Astyanax mexicanus: one gene and its partners. The protein of the gene in region 3 binds, or shares a complex with, the protein of the main gene of each other region. Links are inferred from orthologs where the notes say so. Each region holds a gene or a part of one and is shown on either strand. Other genes may lie near its edges. The genes, in order: washc3, washc5, washc4 and wash1.

Region 1 (7,455 bases), about 17 Mb from region 3:
CACTAGAGGGCAGACCAGAGAACAAAGCCTAAAAAGGCAGAGACATAACAGTCTGTTGCAGTTTTTTTTTTTTTAAATAATCCTGATCTCTCAGCACCTGTTTAGATGAGTATTATTTTTCCTTTGTGCAGTCGCAAAACAACAAATAGATTAGGAGTCAGACAAAATATCAATATAGCAATATACTGTATTGTTTTCGTTTGTGAGACAGTATCTGTATTTGGGATCAAATATCAATATATTTACTAAAACATAGGCACTCTGAACTCCCTGGACTCAGCCCCCAATTTGACTTACTTATTAAATTTACTGCTTCATTAATCCACATGATGGTTCTAATAAAATAAATAAGGTAAACTTGCAATGATGAATACTGGTTGTTAAAGTCTGTGAAACTGACATCTATATATAATTTATTTCTGCTATTGCTTATCGTCTACAGTAGCACAGGTGCTGAGAAGTATCGTAGAGATTTGTCTTGGTATATATTGAGTATCTCAGAATCACAGTATCATAATATTATCATCATATTATCATTAAAGGTATCGTGCTAATATTGTGAGATGCCCTGTGGTTACCACCTCTAATACAGATATAAGTTATTGCAGACACTGTATTATAATATCTGTATTATATCTGTATCCCCTACATGCAGTTCACACACAAATGCGTAGTTAACAGCAAGTCTATCTCTAGCTCAAGGTGAACAAGGTGAAGTTTAAAATTCTAAAAATGTGTAGATGTTGTAGACAAGAGTAATGAAAAGGCATCAACAGTTTTTCATTTACATTAAAAGGAACAAGCACTTAAACTTTCTCAACAGACTGTTTAGACATAATGAGAAGAGTGATGTTAGTGCTAAGAGAACTGAGTTAACTTGTAAAAAAGTGCGAAATGTCACATATAATCGCCTGCAGAATCTGTATGCAATTGTCTGAGTTACAAAATATTTTAGAAATGTTTTACCTTTGCTTCCAAAATGCTGAGTGTTGTTTCAATCTGCTGAATCCGTAATGATATTGTTGAGAGTTTCTACAATAAAAAATACACACTAGTTAGTAAGATGATCTGACAAATTCACTTCTCATCTCATTTGCCACAATATTAGACAAATTAGAAGCTTATTTTGGAAGTTTACCTCTGTGGGAAATCTTACGAAGAAACCCTGTTTTACCTTGAATGTATTGACAAACATCTCACAATCATGATTACTTATCTTGGTATCTAAAATTACATAATCATCGTGTGAAACCTTGTATTTTATATGCATTAACCAATACTTACACCATATTTGATCATTTTATCACTCACAGTATATTTTACACGCATTTATATAAAAGATTAATCAATAATCACAATATATCCTTTACACATATAGTAAAACATTGTTTGATCAGGCATGTGACTAACACAGACCTTATTATGACAAATTAACCAACATGATATATAAGGCGTATATTAACACATAGGATCTATTATATGGCGGACTAACCACACGCTGCTAACACAGTAACAAATAACATATAGAACCAATTGTTGGGCACATACAGCTTATGCCTGAAGCATTTAGTTTACTGCATGTTTCTGACTGACAATCAATCATCAGCCAAGTGCACTTTGTACGAACTGAATTGATACAAAAGAGACTCGGGTACGAACAGTGCAGCCTTACACTCTGTGTGTGCGTTGTTTTTCATCTCCCAAAGCGGGATGGGAGCACGCACATGGGGAGGACGACACTTTGTAATTATTAAAACAATACCACACTGTTTTTACCGGACTCGGTCCAGTCATGAAGACAATGCCACACTGTCCGATTGGAGACAGTCAAGGTCAAACACTGGTGGTGTGATCAAACCTGGGAAACTTCAGTGCTAACACGTGCATGCTAACATGAGATGATTTTAACAACGCCTCATCAACAGGCTTTACGTCATTTTGGGGTATAAACGTGGAGTCAGATCAGAAGGGGGGTCAGAACTTATGCTGGGACGGCTGTTAGACGGTCTTTCATGTGTGGGTTCTCCTGGATATTCAGTACTTTGTAATAAATACCTGGTTTGCTTTCAACTTCACTCCATCTGTCTGACTCTCTCTATCAAACGAACACGCAGGGGAGTTGTACCCCGGACGAGAGGTGGGAGTAGCCCACCTTTCATTTTCTTTTCTACAACACCTCTTACCAAGACATGAACAGCCTATATCTTCCCAAAATTATCAAGAAAATGTTATACTTATGTGGGAGTGTTCCACAAACCTCTACCCTGCACCTTTTTCTTAACATACCTGATTTAGCTAAGCTTATTTACCGCCCTTTCAGCATTGTAGGGGTGAATTAAAGAAGTAAACACACTAAAATGTGCAGGGCAGGGAGCCTCCAAGACCAGGGCACTGAGAGAGACAGGTCTAGATTAACGTTTTTAGGAGATCATTACTGTAAACGGTCTGGGTCTGGGTCCTTTTCTTTTGGGGGATTTTGCTAAATTATCAACACATCGTAAAGCAATTGAATAAAAAAAAAGTAAATGCAAAATATGGAAATAGGGTAACGTAACCAGCTATTTCAGAATGTTAACCCACCTCTTCACAGACAGATGAGAACCGGTTGAGGAACCGAACCGTGTGAACAATAAACTGATTGAGGAAAGCGACGATTCTTCTTTGCTGAATTGCAGGAACCTGAACACACACACAAACACATAGACACACACAGGTTTCAGCAGAGAGACTGAAATGACAGCTCTCTGATCTGCTACTCAGAGAGTAAACAAGCCCGCAGCTCCAGCTGTAACAGCGCAGACACACAGACCCTCCTCACCTTGGTCAGATCCACTCCCGAGCCCACTATAGGTAACCCGTCCTCGTCCATATTAATCTGATCTTGTACTGTTTTATAAAGCTAATATAAATGATCTTAAGCCGGTATAAATTCCGCTCTGCAGTTCAGTATTCTGAAACCATCGTTCCTCAAGTCTCTCATGTGACTTTAGTATGACCCGCGACACTTCCGCCTGCAGAGAGCTCCACTCCAAATTAAGAGTCCTGGTTTACAGGCCTGTTGGAAGCGTTTTCTCAAACCAAATCTAGGATTTTCCTGAGCAAGGGGGTCACAATATTCACGGAGGGGACAAGTACTATTTCACCAGTCACGCCATGTTCAAACACTTGAACGCACTTTATGTAAGTTTAAACAGTAAAATGTTCAGTGTTCATTTTGCGCAATAAAATAAGATAAAATAAATATCAAAATCTGCCATCAAAATGCCTTCTAAAAATACTAACCATCCAGTGATAAAATATTCTAAGATGGGAAGTTAGCTTGTTATTCTATTAACCAGCATAAGGTATGTTTTTTTCTGGATAGCCAGCTGCTTTTGAGACGGATTTTCATCATCAAAAGGAATTTAAGAATTAACAGGAAAATGTTTATGTTGCTCATTCAAAACAGAAAAATATATACCAAATATATATTTTTATATATACGTGGTTGCTTTATCTTCTTTGCAGTTATTGTTTCTTGCTTCTAAATGCATATATTTTGCAAATTTGATCGCAAATTTTATATTTTTGGGTGAAACTTCTGGCACAAAATGAGCTGCATTTTTTAATATTTTACATGCATTTTTTTGTATATAGAGAAAATATTCTCATACACAAAGCATATGATCAAACCCATTTTATTCTTTTTTTAATTCTTTTTACTTTTGAACAAATACTGTCAGGTCCAAACATTAAAACGTCTCTTCTATATAAGCTTGTATTACACTGGACATTCTTATTAGACTAATTGGCGCCTCTAGTGTTTGGACATTGAAATGCATCCACTAATATTTGATTGGCCCTCTTGATCAATGGACAGATGAGTGACAGGACAGGGGCCCTTCTGGGGGCCAATCAGTTTTTTTTTTACCTGGGGCCAATGCCCCTAGAACCGACAGTGTCACAAACATTTCGCTCAAGTTCTCTTGAGCCGCTGCCAGAGATCCTCTTCATATTAGGCTACATACGTCTGTTATGTTCTTGCTGGAGTGTGACGTGTGCAGTGGTGATGGATCACATATAATCCGATAGGGTGTCGGAAGGTTATATGTTTATACTTCTCATCCAACCATAATCAAATTCACTCTGTATGGATGGAGAGATTTATCTGGACAGAGTTTTTTTTAAACAAGGAGAAGCCAGAATGAAAACAAGCTAAAAGAAAATAGGAGTAATGAGGCTTTTTTTAAATATAAGGAGTAGAAGTAAATAGTTGTCTGAAAAAAAAAAAACAAATTACTCCAGTAAAGTATAGATAACCAATATTTCTACTTAAGTAAGGTAACAAAGTATTTGTATTTCATTACTTGGCACTTCTAATGCCGATAGCTGTAGACATGTAGGTTTATCATGATGGAGCCAGTGAGTAAACAGCGAAAGCTCATGTTGGAGCAGCAAGGAACAGGTAAAGAGAGAGATATTGCACATAGGTGAGTCTCGGCCAAGCCTTTTTAAAACTGCGAAAGCTAAATGGCTGATTGTAAGTAACATTGGGAGGATTTCCCTCTGTTTCTCTCTTTCTATCTTTCCATCGCTTAATATTTGGCTATAAGTTGCTTCATAAGTGAAGTTCATTCCAGGTATGTGTATGTACTTTAATAAACAGTCCGTTATTTGGCACAGATTTGGTTTGAATTATGTTTTACAATGAGATGCATAAATCAGAAACCGGTTTAAGTCGCATTTGCTAGCCATAAAAGTCACAAATCTAGTGGTTGTCTAGACTAGTGTTTACTGATGACTATAGAATGGCAATTTTTTCCAGATTGTGTTTCACCTTTAATCATGCGATGCTCTTTAGCATGTCTAAGGTGTGCCTGAGACAGAATACTATGATCACCTGGGACATCTTGCCTTTTTATATTTGTTTTGTTCTAAATGTCATTTGCTGATGTTGAGCGTGTTGTACAAAACATTCACAACATCCTGATGACTCAATTCTTTAAGAAGTATTTCTAAAAACACAGATTCCAAGCAAACATCAAACTCAGTGTCCACTGTTCAAAAAGTATTTTAATAAACAAACACTTGGTAAAAAGAGGATATTCTTGACTATACAATGACTATGAACAGGTTCTTCCACAAATTCCTTTAAAAACAATAGTCAAGAAAAACTTCTTTCTGTAATATTTTCAACAGAATCCATCTCTGGTCAGTTCAAATATTAAGAGCAAAATGCTGGGATGACATCAGTTTAAAAACATAAAAAAATGAAAATATGTACTGAAATTCTGCATCTGTGTTTGGAAAAAAAAATCAGACCAAATGGGTCATTTTCAAGTGTGTTTGTGTGCATTGAGAAATGTGTTGGTTACTGGCAAGATTCTCAGTCATCCATGGTGAAGTCAAAAGCCTCAAAACCAGAGCGGACCTTTTTTGCCAGAGCCTCTTCCTCTTCCTTGCTGCTTTTACAATCTCTCCAGTCTGACCGCGTCGGAATGTTCATCACTGCCTCGCTTGCCAACACTTCCCTGGTGTAAATATAGCACATATTCATAAACTCGCTTTGCTCAAAAATTAATGTGCGAGGTTTATTTGTGTACAAAGACTCTTTCAAATTGGATTGTTTACCTGCCAAACTGCAATGGAAAGTTCTTCTTGATTCGGTAAAACAGTTTCTCTCCTGTGTCCAGTTCCACATAGAAGTAAGGAGTTCCTGGTGGAGCAATCTTTAAAACAGAGCAAGGAAAAAAGCCAGATTTAAACTTTTTACTTCCAAAAATTAATAAAAACAAATGTAACACTTTTACTCATTATTCAAAATTTCTTTTGATCATTATTTTAGCCTGACTTAATACTAACAACCAAGACCAATACAAAACAGGATACAGCATGTTTATACTTGCCCTTCTCAAATGCTGAAATTCTGCATTGATACTAATGAAATGTGGCTTGTTTGTTAATAAATTTCTTTTTTTATTACTTTTCCAAGAGCTAATGAGCAGAGAATGTTTTAATTAAAGTGAGAGGACTGGAAGGGTTTGGGTTTCACAAATGCTTTGCCCTATACATAAAAAAGCATTAAAACTATCATTCAAGCTACAGTATGTATACATTTAAAGGGCTATAGTTACTGCTCTTGAGTTTTTTTTACACCTCGTATCCAGGGTTTTAGAGAGTTTTGTCACTTGTACTAAACGAATGACTCTGTACCCAGGACCGATTCTGGGCTCATCTGGGGGACAAGAGGAACTTTTCGCCAAGCTGTGGATCGATTGAGTTATTCCAATTGTCTTTTTTCTGAATTAATAATTGCTATTGGTTTTGTATTTTACTCAAATAAAAACACTCATACATTACGAAACAGCATCAGTAACTCCTCTGATAAAGTGCTGTTTGCATTTTTCTCCAGGCAGGACGTAGCGTTTGGCTCCACATTACTCCAGTGTATAAGCTTGTTATGCTAACTGGCTAACGTTAGTTAGCGAGCTGTGCCAGTGTGCTTTTTTGGCTGTACTGTTTTACACAGCACTCCACAGCGCCTCTTGTGGTATGGCGGTATATTAAAAATGCATACCGGTTTTAATTTCCCCTCTGGTATAACAGATGAACCAGTATACCACCCAGCACTAGTGTGAACCCTGATTCAACTTAAGTTTCAGAAAACCTTGGAATACATGTTAGGAAATTATGGAAAAGGCAATAAAATTATTCTTAAATGACCTTTACTCCTCACTTTTCTGTAAGTAAGTGGCTAAATGTACCTGTTTGAGGTCTGTGTGCTCTGGAATTTCCATCAGTTCCATCTGCTGCTCCTGAGCCTGCACCACGAAGGCTTCCTTAATGTCCTCCGTACTGCACTTCTCCATCGGCACAGGCACCACCTACCATCCAGAGGGTGACATGGGTGGGAATTACAGTTGGTACACTTGGTAAACTTTCAGACTATAGTCGACTATTGTGTTTCTAAAGTAAACACATGCTAAGATTAAAAGACAGGCACTTTGGAAAACATGGGGCTTAGCTACAGAATAATAGGCTTTGTAAATCCTGTTCAGGCTAATCATTATTTCTACTCATAATACTATGTTAAATCTGATGATGATGATGATGATGGTCATCATTGGGAGCTTGGAGTCCCTCAGACTGGATTGCTCATCAGGACAGACTGCTTGTCTGCTCAGACTTAAACTGATGATTGAATGTATGTGAGCCTTCACATGGGGAAGAATAGAGCCTTTTAAAATCTCCCTCATACTGCAGATAAGTTCTGCCAGGCCCAAAATCATAATTTATGTGGTGCTGCTGGACTGACCCTGGGTCTCAAGAGGCCGCCCGTTTGGGCAGCAACCACAAATGCAGGCTACTCCTAGGGTTGCAACGGTATGAGATGTGATTTTCACTGTATGATTACTGTCTCAGAAAACATCACAATATCACAATCCGCAAGCATTTCATTGTTAACCTAAACCAATA
Region 2 (7,050 bases), on a different chromosome or scaffold from region 3:
GTAAGAGAAAATATAATAAATTTAACAATGGTATGGGGTAGATATAATACATGTAAAAAATATATAAACAAAAGCTATATAAAATAAACACGTTTTTGTCATATTTATCATATTTTGCCAGTTTTAGTCTTATACTTAATGTTAATCTAATTACATTTTAGAAATGTAAACATTTAAAAATTATCTTCAGCTGTCTAGTAATTTTATATATTAATGTGCATAAAGATACTTTATATATACAGCTCTGGAAAAAAATAAGAGACCACTTAAAAATGATGAGTTTCTTCGATTTTACCAAATTGAAATCCTCTGGAATATAATCAAGAGGAAGCTGGATGATCACAAGCCATCAAGGCAAGCTGAACTGCTTGAAGTTTTGCACCAGGAGTGGCATAAAGTTATCCAAAAGCAGTGTGTAAGACTGGTGGAGGAGAACATGCCAAGATGCATGAAAACTGTGATTAAAAACCAAACTGTGATTATTCCACCAAATACTGATTTTTGAACTCTTAAAACTTTATGAATATGAACTTGTTTCTTTGATCTGAATCTTTTTTGTTATGTTAGACATTTCTCATTTTCTGCAAATAAATGCCCTAAATTACAATATTCTTATTTACAATTTGGGAGAAATGTTGTCTGTAGCTAATAGAATAAAACAACAATGTTTATTTTACTCAAACATATACCTATAAATAGTAAAAACTCTTATTTTTTTCCAGAGCTGAATATATTCAATGTATACAAGTAATAACCCAGTTATATTATAAATAATATTTTAGTAATCACTTCATTAAAAAGGTATTTTTCAATACAAACCAATGCAACTTATATTTTAAATGCATTTGTCATTAAAACAACATTATTACATTCCTATTACACCTTAAGAATCATGTGCTGGAGTAATTCACCAAAACTGCATTGGACTCTGCAATGGGGGTTAAAACCACACTGACTTATCATCCAGCTCCTGTAAGCTGTGGTACAGAAGCCCACCCATAAGATTCAAAACCAAATCAAAGATACTACCTTGAAATAGCTGAAGTCACAGATGATGTCTCCATACTTCTGTTGGTCAGTCTTGTCTTTGAGCCGAAAGACTGCGGGGATGAACTCAGAGAGGCGCAGCAGTTCTGCGATGATGGCGTGTCCCCGAGACACAATCCTCAGGATGGCCTGTCCACAGAGGTTATTCTCCGCAAGAAAGTCCACCATGGTGGCAGCCTTCACTCACAGCGAGCAGTCAGAGTAGGTCCTCAGAGATCCATTCCTCTCCTAAATGTAAAAATACATCCACATGCAAATGCAACTCAATCAATTTAGTTGCATCTTTCAATAGCTGGAGTTAGAATCACTGCAGCGCTGAGAATAATGACCCAACACCCAAATAACGGCTGCTCTGCGGTGGTTCTCTCCTGTGGGGTCCTGACCATTGAAGATCAGGGTGAAAGCAAAATAATAATATATGCAATGAATTGACACAATGGTTAAAAACTCCAGCAGCACTGCTGTGTCTGATACACTTTTATCAGCACAACACACACTAACACTTCAAACAGCATCACCAAATGTCCAATGCAACTTTCAATTAGTTGAAGTCAGAATCACTGCAGTGCTGAGAATAAAGACCCACCACCCAAATAATAGATGCTCTGTGGCGGTCCTTTCAGGTCCTGACCATTGAAGAACAGGGTAAAAGAAGAAAAAACTAGTCTTTCTGTGTTTCTATATGCTTAAATGCTACTAATCAGATTATAAATGGTAGGAGTAGGATCTTGCCAATATTGTTTAGTTCGGGGTTTAGTTAGTTTCAGTATTGTTCTCTTTCAGTGACCAGACCACAGGAAACCATACCAAATTACATGAAGTTTAAACTGTGATGATTTTCTTCTCTATGGGACTTTATGCTCGGTGCAGCATACAACTCTTTACAGCTCCACAGCTACAATTAAGCTCCCGTACACTTCTTCTCTAATCAGCTCCCCTCTCTCTGCTCTTGATTACTAAGCCTGAATGTGAAACTCATTATTATCATACAGAGGAAGAAATACGGCTACCCCGTGTGTATATGTTGTGGTGAGCAATGTGAGCAGTGATATTGCACATAGGTTGACAGTAAGTAACGTTACAGTGCCAGTCAAAAGTTTGGACACACCTCTTCTCATTCAATGTGTTTCTTTATTTTTAGGCCTTTTTTCTTACATTGTAAATTGTAAACTAAAAACGACATTAAAGCTATACAGGAACACATGCTGAAATTTCTTGTAAACGTTTAATCCACAATGTAGGAAACAAATTAAATAAAGTAAAAAAAAATAATAATAATAATAATAATAATAATAATAATACATTGAATGAGAAGGCGTATCCAAACTTTTGAATGGTACTGTAAATAACAAAAAGTAGCTAAATAAGTGGTAATATTGCACGTAGTGATGGGAAACAGATTATGATGTACACATATTATTATATAACTGCGTACTTGCACTGTCTATATGGCTGACATCAGTTATCTTCACAACAACTGGTGCATATTCATTAAAAAACTAGTGTAAGTAACGTTTCCTTAACTGCAGTATAAAATCTCTCATTGTGTTTAAACAGAGTATTACATAGCTTTATTCAGTACCTCATATAATAATGTGCAAATTATAGTTATAGGTAATATAATAGTAATGGTAGTCAGTAATAAATTGTCAGTGATAAATTACAGATCAAGCCCCATAGCTTAGCCTAGCCTAGTTTACATTAATTGACACTGATTCAGCTGCTACTTCATTTCTAAAAGGCTAAATCCGGTATTAAGCTGGTTAAACAGGGAGTCTCGCTGTGTCTGTGTGCTGTAGAGTATCTGTAGGTTTAATCCGCTGCGCTCCTGCGCTCTGTAACAGAGTAAAATACTAAATTTATCTCTAATTAACTCCACTCACCTCCTCTCAGATCAGATCAGCTCCTCATCTGTATCCTACTGTTTACACATCACATGAGTGTCACATGATCAAATCGGCGCCTGCCATTGGTTACCTACGCCGCGCGGATGCTGCTGCTAAATGGCGGTTATTTAGCCAATCTAAAATAAAAGTCCCTAAAATTCCACAGCTTTTTAATGGAAAGAAAATATTTTTATTAAAAATAATTAATAAACATTAAAATATGTGGGCACTGTATACTAATATACATACACAGTACAAGCCACGTATGTTAAACATCAATTTTTCTTTATTTCTGTAGTTTTCTGTACTTCATTTTTCACACTGTAGTAGTGTGAAAGTGTTTGGCATCCACAATCCCCTTACCTTACTAAGTCTTTCCACTACTTTATTTTCTTGTTCCCGCACCTTAATAGTCTTGTTCCCACAATTTAATAATCTAGTTCCTATAGTTTAATAAGCTAATTTTCACGCCTTAATAATTTCATGGCCTCACCTTTATAACCTTGTTTCCACGCTTTAATTATCTTGTGGCCATGCCTTAATAAGTTGTCACCACAACTTAATTATCTAATTCCCACAACTTAATTATCCTTTTCCAATGTCTTTATTATCATTTTTTTAATGATTTTTTTTACATTGTGGGGAAGACTTATTAATAGGAATTAGTGAGCATTAAATTGATAGTTTAAAGTTTTATTGACAGTTTATTTAGGTGTTGGCACAAGATAATTACGTCATGGGAACAGGATAATTCTGTTTTGGAAACTAGATCATTAAGTTGTCATGACGACTTATTAAGGTGTGGGGACAAGATAATAAAGTCACAAACAGTTAAGTTGTGGGGACGACTTATAAAGGTGTGGCCACAAGATAATTAAGACAAGAAAACAAGATTATTAAATTGTTGGGACGACTTATTTGGGCATGGCCACAAGATAATTAAAGAGATAATTAAGTCGTGGGAACAAGATTATTAAGTGAATATAGTGTGTACTAGGAAATACACTTCACTGTATAATATATACTATATATTATACACTACATATATATATAACTATAAACCCTGTCCCAGAATCTGACAACCCAAAATAACCTGTTTTTACTGTCAACTTTTTTTTCTTAATTAATGCCCCATGAAAATTTGACTAATCAAAAAGCTCAAAACTTACTTACAAACAGGAGATACAAGTTGTTTTACCTCGCAGCAACAGTAAGATTGTTAAAGAGAAAGAAGACCACATCCACTAGTTTTCATCTAAATTTATTGTTGTCTTCAAACAAGTACAAAATATAATTTCTGTCTAAATCAATCAAGCCACAGCCTATTAAAACAGTTTTTTTCTCCTTTTTTTAAATTAAAAAGCATTGCACAAGGCCTATGGCTCTGGGGAGTAAAGCTTTAGCCACCACAGCGGTGTGAACAAATTCAAATTTAAGGCTCAGTAGGATTCGCAAAGTCACCTCCATGATGGTCCCCTGGTCGTATTCCCATTATCTGAAAAAGAGTGTTACTGAGCCTTACAGTGATTCTACGCAAGATTTAATAAGTGCACTGCAGTTAACAATACTAGTGAAAGGTGGAAGAAACAGGAGACATACAGTTGCACTTGGTAAAACACATTCATAGGAAAAAGCAAACTTAGCATATGAATCACTTTCAAACCCAGAAGAAATCTTGATCTTCAACTTTGCCTAAACTGATTTTTTGCTATGGTAGGTTAGCTACTGAAAGGACAGATGATTCGGATGTGTTATTTTAAGACAATACTTATGATCATGTACTTTTTATCTGTTGTTTACAGTCACAATAAAAGGTGAAGAATCACAGGGACAACTCCAGAGGATCGCAAGCTAAGCAAAAAATGCTCAACAAGAGTTTAGAACAAAACTTCTTTAAAATCTGACTAGTATAATCAGCTCAGATCACACAAAAAAATAGTCACTGTATGAGCAATCCACTTGGGTCAAGGTGAGATTTGTCATCATAAATACAAACTTATAAAAACGCATAAAACTACTTATAAAATACAACAGCAAAATGTATGTACAAAATGAGCGCTCTTTTTGCCATCGTCTCAACAGCTCAAACATGCACTACGACTTTGTGACCCAAAGGGGGCGGTTTAAAAAATATTAAGGAATAGTGCTGCGTGTTTGTGGGGGAGGGAAATAATTATAATAGTTAAAATTTCAATAAAAAACACAATCAAATACCATATATACCATGCTACATGGTAAATAAATTATCCACCAATGTCAATCTCTTCTCACAGAAAAGCAAATTCGCACAATTTTTAGCTACCGTATTTAAAAAAAAACTGAAACTTGTGTGTGTTAGTAATAAGAAAACCCCAATTTTAATAAACTGATAAATAATTTGAGAAGTTGGTCTTTTTGGGTAGCCTAAAAAATAGGTTAGAATGATTATTTATGGTGTGAAGCACTGCTAAGCTGATGAAAATGTGGGTTAAGCCTCTGGGACATTTGATCAACATGAATTACAAACACATTACCGTTTTGTAAAAATCGGCAAACAGGGAAAAACCCAACCAATGCCTTTTCACAAATTGAAGAAAAACAGGTTTTTAAAACAGTCCAGCTGAAACAGTGAGAGCTGAAACACACAGTCCATCCCTCTCTTTTTGTCCAGGCTCTGGTAACAGTGTGCTAACTGGTAACAGTCTTGTGCTGTCATATGCAGTCATCTCGTACGACCAAAAAAAAAATTCCTGGCAAATTTGACCCATGCTGTGCCAGTCATAATGCCAGAGCAGCAGCTGGTGCTTCAAGTCACAGCTCCTTATTAATTGTGCTGATTTAATAGACGGGTATGTCAGTCAACAGTTGATGGTGGTGGATATCGTTGTCTATCAAGAATAAAAGACAGTGAACTTTTGATGTTCATCATTTTTATCACTAGATGCCATTAAATGGCTCAAAAGGCAATTTGTTCTTCTACAAAAGTCTATTCAATACAAAGTGCCCAATCGTATGTGTGTATATATATGTCTCTTTTGGTGAGAATACATACACTATGTATTTGCTTACTCCTTTCATAAGCAGGGAACTGTTAACATTCAGGAACAGTACAACTTTGGCACCATGATTCCTCCTTGGGGCAGTGGGAGGAGCTGGGAAATACAAAACCAAAATCAACTCAGCCCGCCTCCTCTAAAACCACTTGGCATGATTACAATCTCTTCTTCCACCACAAAATTTAATTCAAATTGCACTCAAAGATAAAAAACAATCCAGGCCACTGTTTCTGATCCAGGATTCTTCATGTTGGGTGTAACTCTGTTCACATTTGAACAGAGCACACAGATTTTTTTTGTCTGTGAAAGTTTGTGATGAAACCTCAAAGCTCCGTTTAAGCTCAGAAAACATAGACTAAGCTCAGGAAAGTTGAATGAGAAGATGAGGGGAAAATGCAAAAGTGATGCAAGCAGGATTAATCAGCAAATTGTACATGGATCTTCATAGTCAATGTTCTCCTTCTTCTTTACTAACCTTTCTAAGTGCCGTTTTCACACACAAAAATTAGCTGTCGACTAAAGAAAGAAAAAAAAGAAAGAAAAAAATTACTGATCCTCAGACCCAGACAAAGTCTTTCTAACACTTTGGGGGGGCTCCCAAGATTCACTGTCATCGGTCTCATCATCCTCCTCCTCCTCATCTTCCTCACCCTCTTCCTCACCTGGAGCTGAAGGTCCTTGCTCCTCACCCACTATTTCATTCTCCCCCTGCGACTCCTCCTCTTCCTGCTCGTTGTTTACGTTGTCATCAAACGGGTCAGCGCCCATGTCCACCTTCCGGCAAACCTCTGCAAACCACTCCCGGACCTGCTCGTAGCTCATGTTAGACTTGGCTACCAGCTCATCCAGATCCTGCTCATTCAAGAATTTGTGCTTCAAGTAATATTCCTTTAAAATATCTTTTCCTGTCTTGAACTTTATTGGCGGGGGCTTCTCCAAGTTTGTGGACTTCTTGGCTTTTCTGCTGCGAGACCGTCCCCAACCACGGTTCCGGATCCTCCGTTTTCTGCCTTTGTTTCCGTTCATGCCTTCCACATTTCCACTCTGATAATAGAAGTACCATTTAAGGTTCCCATTCTTCC
Region 3 (6,898 bases):
TCTTTGCTTTTACCAAATTGAAACCTCTGGAATATAATCAGGAGGAAGATTGATGATGACATACTATCAAACCAAGCAGAACTGCTTAAAGTTTTGGCACCAGAAGTGGCATAAAGTTATCCAAAACAGTGTGTAAGACCGGTGGAGAAATGCATGAAAACTGTGATTAAAAAAAACAGGGTTACTCCACCACATACTGATTTTAGAACTTCTAAAACTTACTGAATATGAACTTCATATGAGCAATAATTGAAGCTATGCATCTTTTTTTCATTTCCTGCAAATAAATGCTCTAAATGACAATATTTTTATTTGAAATTTGGGATAAATGCTGCCTGTCGTTTATAGCAAGACAACAATAAACAATCTATGAATAGCAAAATCAGAGAAACTGATTTAGAAAATGAAGTGTTCTCTTCATTTTTTTCCAGAGCTGTATATACACTATAGAGTGTATATTAGAGATGCACCAAAAGAACAGTTTTGTCCGAAACATGTTTCTTCATAGGTTTTCATTGGTTTGTCTATTATTTTAACAATTGCCTAAATGAAATAGCCTTAATATATATTGTCTTGTTTGTTGGTTTGTTGTTCAAAGAAACAGCAATTGCAAACCTACAATCACAAATATGGAATGAGCATGAGTAATTTTTAATATATAATTAGATTGTGCTTATTTGGGTTTTTCATTTATTCAGCCAAACACAAAGTTCATTTTTGTTGATGTCCGACAAATTAATTTGGTTATATATTCTTCATGTTGACATACAAATATCAAAAACAAAGTAAATAATCTGAAGTCAATTAAAGTCAAGTAATATACAAGTAAAAATATATAAATCCATATAATATAAATCTAAATAAAAAGTTAGGCTGTGTAAATCATGTACATAATTGTATATAACAACTTCATATCAAATTGACATGACCACTTACCTAAAGAAAAAAGACCAGCAAAACGAGACAAGAATAAAAAGATAACTCCTTCCTTTCCTCATGCTACTCCACCAGCCTGCTCCTTCTCCTGACAACAACAGGTCAGCGTGTTTTAAACATCTGCTGTAGGGGTTTGTTATGGCAAATAAGAATTTAACACACTTTATAAAAGAACTAAACTTATTCATACAAACACTCTAACAACAGAGAGCAAATTAACAAATTAGAATGACAAAAATATTCCATAGAAAGTCCTACCTACGTGACAGCCGTCCCTCCACGACCCGCAGCTGAGCGGACTGGCAGAAATGCTGAATATGTTGAATGCCTCAGACAGACACGAGAGGGTGAGTGGTAATTATGGTATAGATTAAGTGTAAGTGCCTAAATTCACCACTTGGCGGACACAGAGAACTCAGTGTGGACGTCCTCCACAGGGTTGCCAGGTCAAAAAAAATAAATACAAGCACAGGCAAAAACCAGAACCAGTCATCAAAAGGCCATTAACCTATCCTACATGTGTCTGCCTTTGGATTACTCCAGGATCAGAAGGTGGTCATTGTATCTTCCACAGTCTGCGAAGTATCAAAGCTTTTTGTTGTCTTTGCTACTAAGGACAATTATTTGTTAGCTTAGCTTAAAGCATATTTTAGCTAAAAAGTATACAACATTGTCAAGACATTGTCTACTTTTGCTACTTTGAGACTTCCTTGGCGGGCGGCACGGTGGCGCAGTGGGTAGCACTTCCGCCTCCCAGCAAGACGGCCTGGGTTCGATTCCCGGGCGGGGGGACCCTGGTCTTTCTGTGTGGAGTTTGCACGTTCTCCCCGTGTCTGCGTGGGTTTCCTCCGGGTTCTCCGGTTTCCTCCCACAGTCCAAAGACGGCACGTTCAGGCTAATTGGAACTTGATTGAAATTGCCCCTTAGGTGTGAGTGTGTGAGTGAATGTGTCTGTGTGTCTGTCTCTGTCTGTCTGCCCTGCGATGGATTGGCGGCCTGTCCAGGGTGTATCCTGCCTTCCGCCCGATGCCTGCTGGGATAGGCAGCATCTATGGGGCCTAGATGTAAGATTAAGGCCCATTTCGGAAGTACAACTTAGTCCCAGTACAAGGCGTGTACAAGGCCCTGGCCAACCAGAATCCATCTAGCCCTTATTCCATCCATGTGAATCCTACATGAGCATGCCGGCTGGGTAGTATATTCTTTTGTTTAAGTTTAGTGGTTTCCTAGCTGGGCACGTTTTTAAATCAAATGCAACATGCCTGTTGGTCAGCAAGCTTACCAGTTTATGGGAATGTTCAGCAGGGATTACTTTTTAAGGAAGAGAGCACTAAGTGTGGACACCAAAAAAAATACAACTTAGCTACCTGACAACGGCCTAACATTACTTCTTTCTCTGTTCATGGTTGTAGGTTTTTGCAAACATTCTGTTTCTGTTTGAATCTTTATTTTCCATCGCTAACGCTTTGAAACAATATTAGACTCCAGCGTCATAACTAATTTATTTGTGCACATTGGTTTTTTTTTTATTGTGTTGATTGAACATTTATTTAAAGGTATGGTTTTGTATGATTTATATTAAAATTAGAATTTTTAAAATATGTATATATTGTTTTATTCTATCCCTTAAGCCTGTACTACCGTTTTAAGGTTGTTTTTTTCATCATCATAATCGTAATGTAACCAAAAATAACATTTACTCAAAGTTCCTTAGGGATCACAAACATTTTAAGGGTTAATCAGCAACAGTGTTAGGAATGAAAGTAAAAATGACAAGTAAATGTAACTATTCAGCTTTATCAGATGGTGTTTAAACAAATCTAGTGGATGTTGAACTTTTACTTTAAAAAACACTGCGAGCTTTAGCCCGGAAATTCAAGAATACTTGAGCAAATCATGGGACCGGAGAGCAGAGTGCTGTATTTACGCCGCTGTCCACCAGAGTTGCCAGGTTTGCGGTTTTACCGCTCACTTTGGTTTGTTGGGAAATCCAGTCTCTGGTAAAATTCAGGGGAGACGGGTGCGTTTTTTTGGGCTACTTTTAAAATTACCAAAAAATAAAAAAACAAAAACGAAAAAATATATATTGCTAATTATGTTACTATTAAATGTTCTTGATTGGGATATAAAATTGTTTTAAATTAACTTATTCAGACTTGCCAACCCAGCTGGCATTTTAACGTTGAATAAATGTTGAATCAATGTTGATCAACGTATATGTTAGGGTTGAATCAACGTTGTTTTTGAAAAGTGAATCAACGTTGATATAGCAACATTGTGTCAGCGTCATACATTCAACCTTAAACCATATAAACCATAGCTCACAAAGATAAGAAAATCCTATGGTTAACAAAGTGTTAACAATAAACTCACATCACTGCAGTAAAGCTGATGTGACCAACCAATCTGATTCAACATCTGATCTCAAAAACACTAAAACAGTAAAACTAATAGAACATGAACATAGGATTGCAAAACACTTTTCATTCCTCCATCCAATCGTTTTTAGAAATTGTATGGTGATGAAATGTAAAATGCTGATTCAAAAGGCAGAAGGTTGAGGACATGTTGATTCAACGTTAAAATGTCACCGTTAGCACAACCATTGAACATTAAATGTTGATTCAACGTTGAAACAACATCAACATACATTACTTCAGTCATTTCAACTTGAAAGTGCCAGTTGGGAAGTCTCCCGGAAGTTCCGCAACGGCTCCCTGGCTCCCAGTTTTTTAGTGTGGGTGGGCAGTGTTTTTGTCCTCCTGGATGGAATACATTCAGGAGCATGGCTCCCATGAAACCTGGCCCTGAAATATTTTTTTGCAAATTGGGATGTCTGCTAATGAAATGTTAACATACTATTAATGATTTTAAGATACCAATACTGATAATAACTGATAAAATACGAAGTTGTACACTTATACTTGTTTTGCTTCAAATGTGTGAGAGTAATATATTTTTGGCTAGTTTAAGATTCTGAAGGGCAGGTTTTAGACTAACTTTGGACTGGATATTTTTTTGGTGGACCTGGCAACCCTGCTGCCCTGCTACTTTCTCTACTATCACTCTGCGGAGGGAGGGCAGCTGTCTGCTGGAGAACGTCTCTGTGCTAGCTCTCTCTTCACAGGATGGCGGTGGAGTCGATCTCAGCAGACTGGGAGTTTGATCGCTTTGACGATGGCTCTCAGAGTAAGTGTCGCCTCTGTTTAGCTGAAACATCGGTCAGACGTTAGCTCGATTAGCTGTTAGTGGGGTTAGCCACCAGGCTAGCAGCATATCTAACGTAGCTAGGTTAGCTAAGCTAGGTGGCTAGCTGTGTTTTGGTCAGATGATCAGGAGCTCCTGCCAAGCTGTAGCTTTAGTGATCAGTCTCTCTGAACACTGCCTGGGTGTGTGACCCGGGGATCAGCACATTTTAAACATCCCTGTATTACTATCAACTGTAAGACTAGGACAGATATGCTAACTAGCTAATTAATGCAATAGATATTCAGTGTGGTTCACATAAGCACTGAGCTAACGTCTCGTGATCTGCTGAACTAACGAGCCTATCAATTCAGCGATTCGTCGCCAAGTTCTGTAAATTGTCTCCTTTTTTAGTCATCTTTCAATCACATATGTAGTTAGATGACTAGCCTGTTGACTGCATAACGTAAGCTAGCTAACCCCATGTTCACCCATTCAGTCATATGACCAAAACGACAAGGAGCAAGAGTCCATTGACTCCTCTATTAGAGACGTAACTACGTTACTGTGGTTTTAAGAAAAAGTGCTGTTTTAAGGAAGTGTTGGAATGAAAACGCCCCTGCACGATGATATATGTGTAGCTAACTAACTTACATTTGAAATTGTCAGTATACCACTTGCTGAAGTCAGCATGTTAAGCATTATTTTTAGCATTGTAAACAGTGCTGCTGGGTATCGAGCTACTAACTGTCAGTGTCACTGACTTGAACTGTCAGTGCCAGTTTTCTGAGACTAGCTAGGTAAACGAATTAAACGGCCACAGGGTGTCTGTACTGCCTGACTGTAAATATTAAGACAAATATTTAAAAAGTGTAGTGCAGTGAAAAGAGGGGGAGGGTTGAGGGGTTAATGCGAAAATGTCTAATGATTGTTGTATTGCAGTAAAAATGCAATTTTGCCTTTTGATTACATTCTAGAAATTCATACTGAAGTGCAGCTAAAAAACTACACAAAGTTCTTGGAAGAGTATTCATCTCAACTCAAAGCTATTGAAGAAGCCCTGGATGACTCCATTGGTGATGTCTGGGATTTCACTCTGGATCCAATAGCTTTGCAGGTGCTGTATGGTTTGTTTAAACTGGTGATGTTTAAGTTGATACTCTTTTGTTTCTTTTTACCTTCCTAGACACTAAATGCATCTCTTTATATTTTGTCTGATTACAGCTCATTCCCTATGAACAGTCCTCACTTTTGGAGTTGATTAAGACAGAAAACAAGGTGAGTCTCTAATTATGGGACATCTAATTATATAGAAATGTGTATTTTTTTCTTTTCTGTACTTTATTCTGTAGGATTGGAGAGACTAGTCAACCAAAACAACCGGACTAAGACTTACTAGAGGAGGTGGTCTCGGTCCTGTTCCAAACAGTTTAAAAATATTTGTTTGTAGTGAGAACCTTATCCGGTCTCGATCCCACCCAACTGTCAAAATACTCCTTTTATTTGAGCTAAACAACTGTTCAGGTGCAGCAATAACCTGATATATTAGCCAAATAATTACCATAGCTGTGAACAAATGCTGTCTTTGCTGCTGCTTCATGCTACATTGTTTACACCCTAAACACTGAAAGTGCAGCGTTTACTGATCACGTCCACGCAGCACTGTTTACTATGGGGCATCTCATTGAAAATACTGCGTTTGAATTTGTAACAGCAATATTTTCTGCATTCAAAGATTTAACAGCTTCACGCTGCACAGATATATTCATGCTGGTCTGGAACACAGAACTTTCTTCCTGTATGTAGTTTCTTGCTCCTGCACCAGACAGCTCTGACCAATGGTTGGTGCACATTTTGGTGCATTTAGGTTTAGGCCTGTGTGAAAACACTCAGGTTAACAAACTCATCAACTGATTTGGACAAGAGAAACCAAGTACAGGTGCAAAAACACCTGAGGTTCTGCATACTTGCGCTTGTAGTGCTTATACCATTGCGTGAGAGAATTAATTCCAAAGGGCGTTTTCTGAACTGAAATCTATTCAGCAGTGATCATTAATGTACCTAACATAGTCACAGCTGGGAGGCAGTATTGAACTGGTGATGTTTCTGTAAGATTTCCACAGATCAGAAACACTTAAAACACACATAGTCTAACAAAGAAGATGACTTGTTGGCTGTAGCAGATATCATGTCATGTAATACTTTTTCAGTATGAATGATGTTGTCTTTTGTTTGTTACTGTTCTTTTTTGCAGGTCCTTAATAAAGTCATTACAGTTTATGCAGCTCTCTGCAGTGAAGTCAAGAAATTGAAATATGAGGTATGTGACAGTTTTACATTGTAAAGAGATGTACTATATAAAAATTGCTCATTATATGATAAACAATAATGTACTGAAAAAAAATTAGGATGAAGGAAATGTAAATGTCTTTGCATTTAAAATTGTAATGTTCATTACCTTTTAGGCTGAAACAAAGTTCTATAATGGTTTGCTGTACTACGGTGAAGGAGGTAGTTGTTGATTCCATTTTATCCTTTAAAACATCTCTTATAGGATTTAGTAACTACTAATTTCTGTTTTGACCAAGAGATCTGTAATTTAGCAGCACATAATGCATTACGTCCTATGGTCCAAGTTCTTGCTCATTTGTGAATCCTGTCTTGTTTGAAACTTTATGAATGATGTTTTTTATTGACAGTGTCAGACACCAGTGTGGTGGAGGGCGAATGCCAAGTTCAAATGGGACGCTTCATCTCCTTTCTGCAGGTTGTTTTT
Region 4 (6,830 bases), on a different chromosome or scaffold from region 3:
AGCTGTGTGTTTGGACACGTGTGAGGTGTGTAGATCACCTTGGTGGCTTTTTTGCTTCCTTTGATCTTGTGGACTCGTGCTTGAGCCAGTTTGATACGGTCTGTGACGGCCTGGAGGTAAGTGCGATTCTTTTCCACACTCTGCGACACCCTGCAAAATCAAAGACTTCACTGTGACTCTCTGTTTCTACAGAATGTAAACACGGGGTGCTCCTAATTCTCCCTACAACATGATATGGCCAAAAGTGTGCGGAGTGCAGTCATGCTTGCAGTGCTCATTCAGTGTGTGTCAGCTGTACTCAACACACACTCTGTAGCCTCGGGTTCTCCCTGTTGTCTAGAAAAGGAAAAAAAATTACTGAAATGAGGGAAAAAGGAAAAAAGACAAGAATGAGAGTACATCCTAATGGAGCTGACCCAGAAAACCAGCGGTTACCCCCCACCACCCTACCCCCTACACACACACACACCAAACGAACATGTTCCCTCATCTCTCTCTTCCACTATGTTGTCATGGTAACGCTATGGATGGTTTTTCGGTCCCTGCTACTGGAGCTGATATTAGCATATCTGAGCACTCTCTCACACTCACTCACACGCACACACACTCAGAGAACAAACAACATCCTCTCAACACACACAGCTGCACACACATGAATAATATGCATAAAATGCATAGGTCATTCCCCTGTTTATCCACACTTGCCCTCTATCTCCACCTCCTTTATCTCCATCTTTCTCCATCTGTCCCTCAGGCCTGCGCAAAGAGTAGCTGCATCTGAGAGTAAAACTTTAACGATGAGTTGCTTACTCACATTTAAAGTATAATCTTTAAAAAATATTTCGTACCAACCACAAGTCACAAAATCACTATTTAGACATGTGCACAAACATGTAACTTTTATTATGCTTATTTGCTGTTAAAGTCTATTTTTTTCAAAATAAATCAAACCTTGTAGATAACAGGGTGGTAAACAGGTTAATGGCTTGTTCAATCACATCTCAGCATTTTCACCCCATCAAAGTCACATGCATTATTAGTGGCCTTCAACACCAATATCATTACAATAATTGTGTGTAATTGTGAGTAAAAACAAACAGATGTCCGGGATAAAAAATCTGCCCGGCCATCAATGTGAGGTGTAGGCCTGTTTTATAGCTTTTGTTTAGTTTCTTCAAATCTCATTTGAAGCTTTACTCCTTACACAAGATTGTAAATATATATATATGCCTGTACAACTTAATCAAACTCAAAAATAGCATGCTGTTTATTTTTGTACAATAACAGCCTTTACAATATCTGCATTTGTATATTTTCTATTACCAGAATTTAGCATAAATTAAAAGGCCACATTAAATGGGTTGCCTCATTTACATTTTGATTTTGACCTTTGCATTCTGAATGGAAGTTAATGGGATTTGGGATTTAAAAGCCATTATCACTCTGCCCTCTCTAAATATATTCTAAACATTGAAGAGAATTCAATTTGACTGGCCTTACTAAAACAAATGTGTTTTTATGAATTACATGAATACACTACAATTGCTGAATTCAGCTAAAGATATTTAGATATAAAATATTCAGTAACAGGCCTGTGTACATATCCTTAATAAATCATGATATATGACTTACGTTTTACAATAAATACATCATTCCTATCTTTCAGTGGTATAACATGTTTACATCATAGGAATATAAAATTTTATGTAACTTCTATTTAAAACTACTGTATCATTTACAGTCGTATTATAATACCCAGACAGTTTTTAACATCCAACAGCCAAAGTTAGACTGCAAATTTAAATGTAGTCTGTAACAGTCTGTAACCCACTTGCAGAACTTGCATGCACCCATTTCAATACATACCTGAGGGTATTTTAAATAGAATACAGTTACTAAAGCAGACAAAGAAAGGAATGAGACATAAACTCACAATCTAATTATGTAAGCACACTCCTTCAAGCTTACATGCAACTTTTATATTAAACACAATGCAAACAAAACCTTGTTGTATCTCACACTAGGAAAAGTGTAAAATATTAAAATCACTGCAACATAAAAGAGTTCTTTACAGGTTTCTGACAGAAGCACAATTCTTTCTACTGAGATTCTCTCTGGAGAATGTACAATCTCCATTATCCCATTTTGCAATCACAATAAAATGTAATTAATCAAATTAATTACATGAATCTCCTAGCCCTATACCTGGTGAAGATGTCTGTTGAAATATTTTCCAGGTATTGCAGAGCATCAGTGATCTGGTGCACAGCCTCTTCCCTCCTCAAGTCCTGCTGGATCACTGGGACAGAATACACCTGTCCCTCCAAGTGGTACTTCTGAGTCATCCTACACACACACACACACACACACACACACACACAAACACACACAGAAGAAAACAAAAAAGCATTACACACTGAATCATCCCATGTGTGAACATGAATATCTCTATTGCTATATTCTCTTGCAATTCACTGCCTAGGGGTAAACACTGTTTACACTGTCAGGGCAAAACAATTTATTAGAAAATTTAATAAACAAATATTAGCCATATAAAACTCAACACTGCGCACATTAATAGGCGTATTTCCTGTGTGGAGAAAGTGTCAGATGATTTCGTTTATTCTTAAATCATATCCAATAAGCTACACGGCTAAACTTGGCTTCATTATCAATTGCTCCGTTCCACCTTAAAAAGTGCAACAGATGCATATCAGCGTCTATTCAGATTCTACAATGCTTTAACCGAAGCTCTCCTGTTATTTAAGGTGGAACGGAAAATTCGAACCGCTGCTTCGTAAACAGGCCAGAAACGGCGCTCTTTTACCTCACTAAGGCACCATACGTTATAATACTTAGTTAAGCAACCCAAAACAGTAAAAAATAAAGAAGGACATCCTTACCTGACCATTTATAACGCAGTTAAAGCAGCTAAAGCGACAAAATCCTCGCATCGCCTATAAACACAGCACTGAAATGAGCTCTGTTATCAAAACTTCCGCACCGACTAGTCACATGAGCAGCGGCGGAAGGATACTGCTGTAGGTTATCTGGCCAAAAGTTTGTAGACACAAGCTAGTACCGCGTTCATCTAATAGATGGAATTGTTAATATGTGTAATTTAGGTTACTTTAATACCAAATACAGTTTGAATTGCTCTATTAAAATCTATAACAAGGTGGCAAAATATTCCTACGGTTCTTATTAAACTAATCAAACATAATTTAGATAATACCTTAGTGCCCAAAATTACAAAATCTATACATAAACAGTCTTCACTTTTCAGTCCTAAGATGCAATAAAACATTTCTAAGAAAATATTTAAGAAAATATACATTAGTTTACTTTGAATATTCTAGTTTATTATAGATTATCTTAATGAAGAAATGTATAAACAACATACATTTTAAATAAATGTAATACAAATACATATGAATTATATGAATAAATATAATCTATACTAACCCCTTTGTTTTTATTTTTTTATTTATATATTATTTGTTGGAATTTTATTTATTTTAGACTTATTTATTTTATGTCTCCCAACTATTTCATTGTTCACTGTTATATTATAGCTTTATAGGTTTTACAGTTAATATGATGTAGCTAGCATTGCTATGAGGATTTTACTACAGTCAATCACAGAATTCTGACGAGATATTTTTTTTAAATAAATTTGCAGGTTAGGAACTACTTTTCCTTCCACCCTGCACTTATAGGAGCACTCTGGCTATTTTACTTAACAATCTGTGACAGCTATTTAACTTTAAGTTCTAAAATATAATTTTTAATTTAGTGTCCACATTAATATATAATATAATTTTCCATTTTAAAAATCATAAAGAATTACCATGCTTTGTGTGCAAGAAAATCTTACTAGTTTTATTATTCATAGAGAAATATGTGGATTTTCTATATATATATATATATATATATATATATATATATATATATATATATATATATATATATATATATATATATATATATATATATGAAATACATTTCATATATATTTTTTATTACCAAGCAATTGCAGTGCATTAAGAAAAAAAATATTTATGTATATTTTTCCTACATTTTAAATGTGTTTATGTATAAATGTATAAAAAACGTATACATAGTTTGCATTTCTAAATTTATTTTCCAAAAGGATGAACAGAAAATGACCAGTATCATCTATCCCTAATTAGCTGTGAAGCTTGTTCCAGATGTTTCTGATGGATTTATAGCACCCTAGAGAATGGTCAGCATTGATCATGGTGACCTTGAAGGGTCATGATGCGACTGCTCTAGAGCACCACATTCAATTCAGTGCATTTCTATGGAGATTGTACTGTCTATTCTCTTTACTGTTTTCATCCAGCCAATTTTAAACTGATGTTCACTGTGAAAACCTTAAGGAATTCCTTTTTTATGTGTGCAAGAATTCTAAAGGTAAAGGTTTTCCACCACTTAAGAGAACCTGGGGTCTATAGTCTTCTACCCGATACTTGGCATAGGGCATGGTGACCTTATAGGCCAATCTAAATCATTGAAAAAAGAAACAGTTTAATAATTCTTCATTGTCATGGAATATACCATACATAGTATTTAGTATATATGGAATATACATTCACGTACTGAATACCCACTTAAGAGAAGCTGTCCATATAGCTGAAACGGTGAAGTGTGTCAGTGTTAGCCTAATTCTGGCGCCCTCTTTTATCTATAGTTGATGTGAACTAATATAACTCAGCTTGGATGAGCAACACAGATGGTGTTTTGAAAGTCCTGAGAGAGAAAGCAGAAGAGAAATATTGCTGTGGTTCTGAGACTTTTTTTTTTCACAGTTTCAAATGAACTAAACTACTGTAAAAAAAAAAAAAAACTCAAGAGCTGTGTTTGGAATGGGTCACTCATTGACTTCTTCACTATTCACTATATAGAATTTTCTATATAGTCAACTGTCTGTAAAAGGGAACAAATCCAACCAAAGCTAAGGTTTATAGTGATACTATACAAAAAGGTAAATATTAATAAAAATTACAGGTTACTTTAGTGCACTTCCCATTACCAGCTAATTATATTGCCAGGGCTTTTGGCAGATAAATACTTAGTAACTAATGAAAATAAAATAACAGATTAAAAACAATAAAAACAATAAAAAACAGAAACATAAACATGTTAATCCAATGGTAGTACTAAATAACTTTTTTGAAGATGATCAGCACAATATGAGTTTTCTCACCTGTCAAAAGTTTTGTATACCTTGCTTTAAAATTCAGTGTTTTTGCTAAGGAGCTAGGCCTGAGGATAGCTGAAAGACAGCTGTAGGGTAAATGTTAGGAGAATGTCTAACAAATATCACTGAATAAAGAAGCTGATTTGAGCTATGACTGCACTAATGCCTTGGGCACATTCAGCTGGGCTTTACAAAATTTAGGCAGAGAAATAAATGTTTAATAAAGCACAGTTTCTGAAAGAGAACAAACTTGCATTCACTATAAGGGCAGTTTCCCAAACAGGGATTAAGTCTAGCCTTGGACTACATAGCAGTTTAAATAGAGATTTTCCAAAATATAGTTTACGACTAGGTTTAATGCCTGTCTGGGAACTTTGTTTAATGTTTAAATGTTTGTGGACACATAGCCTGTAAGAATGCATTTAGCTACTTTACATTTCTTACACAGATGTACAAATACACACACACCTCCCTGTAGAGCATTATTAATAAAAGAATAAGACTCCCTAGGGTAGAGAAACATATAAACCTACTGGCACATTGTGTAGGTTTGTACTCAGATCAGGGTGTTACTTAAGTTCTAATTTTTTGAGTTCGCTTAACGTACTTTGCTTTTTTTAAGGAAATCAGTTTATATGTTTTAAATAATTAATCAGATTCATAACTGAGTTTTAGAGACAAAACAATAAGTATGTTTTCTGTGACACGCTCTCATTAACTGTGTCAGTCACTCACTTTGTCAGTCCCAAAAAAACATGTGAGCAAGCCTCAGTCCTGAGTGTTGGAGTATTGTATATGATTTGACTGTGTCATTGAACCAATATCAATCAGATGGTAAGTGAGTGGTAAAATAACATTCTAACATAAAATAAAATAAAATCTAATTTCACCTCCCCATCACAATGGACAATAATAAATAATTGCTCCACAACTTGCCCCCAGGAACAGAGGGAGGGGATGAAATCCCCTGCGAATGCTCTGCGAACCGATATTTATGAAAAAAAAGTGCTCCGGTGCTCCTGTTTTAGACTGATTTAGTTCAGTAGAGGAGTGGGTGGGAATGAATATTCATGACACACAAATGTCTTGTTTCTGATTGATCAACAACACTGTGACGCTCCCTCCACAATTCTGCAGTGGCGGTTGCAAGTCAGAGTGGGTGAGTCCATGAATCCTAATGCATGAGTATGGAACATTATTTATTTGATAATATTGATGGATTGCTGTTGAGTCAAACTTTTAACACTAGCCTGACTCGTGGGGGGGGGGGGGGGGGGGGGGGGGGTAGGTGTTCCTGTGGGAACATGATACCAAAACATACCCTTTGTATGAATGAAATTCCTTTGAGTAACTTGTGAAGTGGGATGTTTGCAGCTTCAGTACCTATTCCACATATAGTTTTTTTTTAAGTATGGTCTAATCATCTTATCATTATTAATAATTAATTTGATTCTATGATATTTTCATTTATTATCTCTAATATGTTCAAAGGTTTGTTTGTTCTGCTGCTTGTTTATGTTTCAAAACTGAAGTTTAAATCTTTTTTTGCGTGCCATGCTGTGCGTCCTGACGTCACTTCAGACAGGGCTCCTCCTCTTTTATTCCA

Evidence for each region.
Region 1: washc4 (region 3) and washc3 share a complex: the UniProt entries of both Homo sapiens proteins name them as parts of the WASH core complex. The link is inferred for Astyanax mexicanus from reciprocal best matches to the Homo sapiens genes WASHC4 and WASHC3.
Region 2: washc4 (region 3) and washc5 share a complex: the UniProt entries of both Homo sapiens proteins name them as parts of the WASH core complex. The link is inferred for Astyanax mexicanus from reciprocal best matches to the Homo sapiens genes WASHC4 and WASHC5.
Region 4: washc4 (region 3) and wash1 share a complex: the UniProt entries of both Homo sapiens proteins name them as parts of the WASH core complex. The link is inferred for Astyanax mexicanus from reciprocal best matches to the Homo sapiens genes WASHC4 and WASHC1.

The regions. Positions count from the first base shown.
Region 1 is NC_064409.1:37,361,042-37,368,496, forward strand, and holds the start of washc3 (WASH complex subunit 3), read right to left. Parts: upstream 3,008-7,455; 5' UTR 2,870-3,007; coding exon 2,819-2,869; intron 2,680-2,818; coding exon 2,581-2,679; intron 1,033-2,580; coding exon 967-1,032; intron 1-966. Other genes in the region: cwf19l1 (CWF19-like protein 1), read right to left, coding at 5,366-5,510, 5,611-5,708, 6,744-6,863. UniProt on the Homo sapiens protein: Acts as a component of the WASH core complex that functions as a nucleation-promoting factor (NPF) at the surface of endosomes, where it recruits and activates the Arp2/3 complex to induce actin polymerization, playing a key role in the fission of tubules that serve as transport intermediates during endosome sorting.
Region 2 is NC_064408.1:112,355,472-112,362,521, forward strand, and holds the start of washc5 (WASH complex subunit 5), read right to left. Parts: upstream 3,010-7,050; 5' UTR 2,931-3,009; intron 1,276-2,930; 5' UTR 1,216-1,275; coding exon 1,030-1,215; intron 1-1,029. Other genes in the region: zinc fingers and homeoboxes protein 1, read right to left, coding at 6,515-7,050. UniProt on the Homo sapiens protein: Acts as a component of the WASH core complex that functions as a nucleation-promoting factor (NPF) at the surface of endosomes, where it recruits and activates the Arp2/3 complex to induce actin polymerization, playing a key role in the fission of tubules that serve as transport intermediates during endosome sorting.
Region 3 is NC_064409.1:54,355,172-54,362,069, forward strand, and holds the start of washc4 (WASH complex subunit 4), read left to right. Parts: upstream 1-3,890; 5' UTR 3,891-4,064; coding exon 4,065-4,125; intron 4,126-5,099; coding exon 5,100-5,239; intron 5,240-5,346; coding exon 5,347-5,400; intron 5,401-6,376; coding exon 6,377-6,442; intron 6,443-6,587; coding exon 6,588-6,633; intron 6,634-6,821; coding exon 6,822-6,889; intron 6,890-6,898. UniProt on the Homo sapiens protein: Acts as a component of the WASH core complex that functions as a nucleation-promoting factor (NPF) at the surface of endosomes, where it recruits and activates the Arp2/3 complex to induce actin polymerization, playing a key role in the fission of tubules that serve as transport intermediates during endosome sorting.
Region 4 is NC_064416.1:14,044,526-14,051,355, reverse strand, and holds the start of wash1 (WASH complex subunit 1), read right to left. Parts: upstream 3,029-6,830; 5' UTR 2,912-3,028; coding exon 2,904-2,911; intron 2,347-2,903; coding exon 2,206-2,346; intron 151-2,205; coding exon 39-150; intron 1-38. UniProt on the Homo sapiens protein: Acts as a component of the WASH core complex that functions as a nucleation-promoting factor (NPF) at the surface of endosomes, where it recruits and activates the Arp2/3 complex to induce actin polymerization, playing a key role in the fission of tubules that serve as transport intermediates during endosome sorting.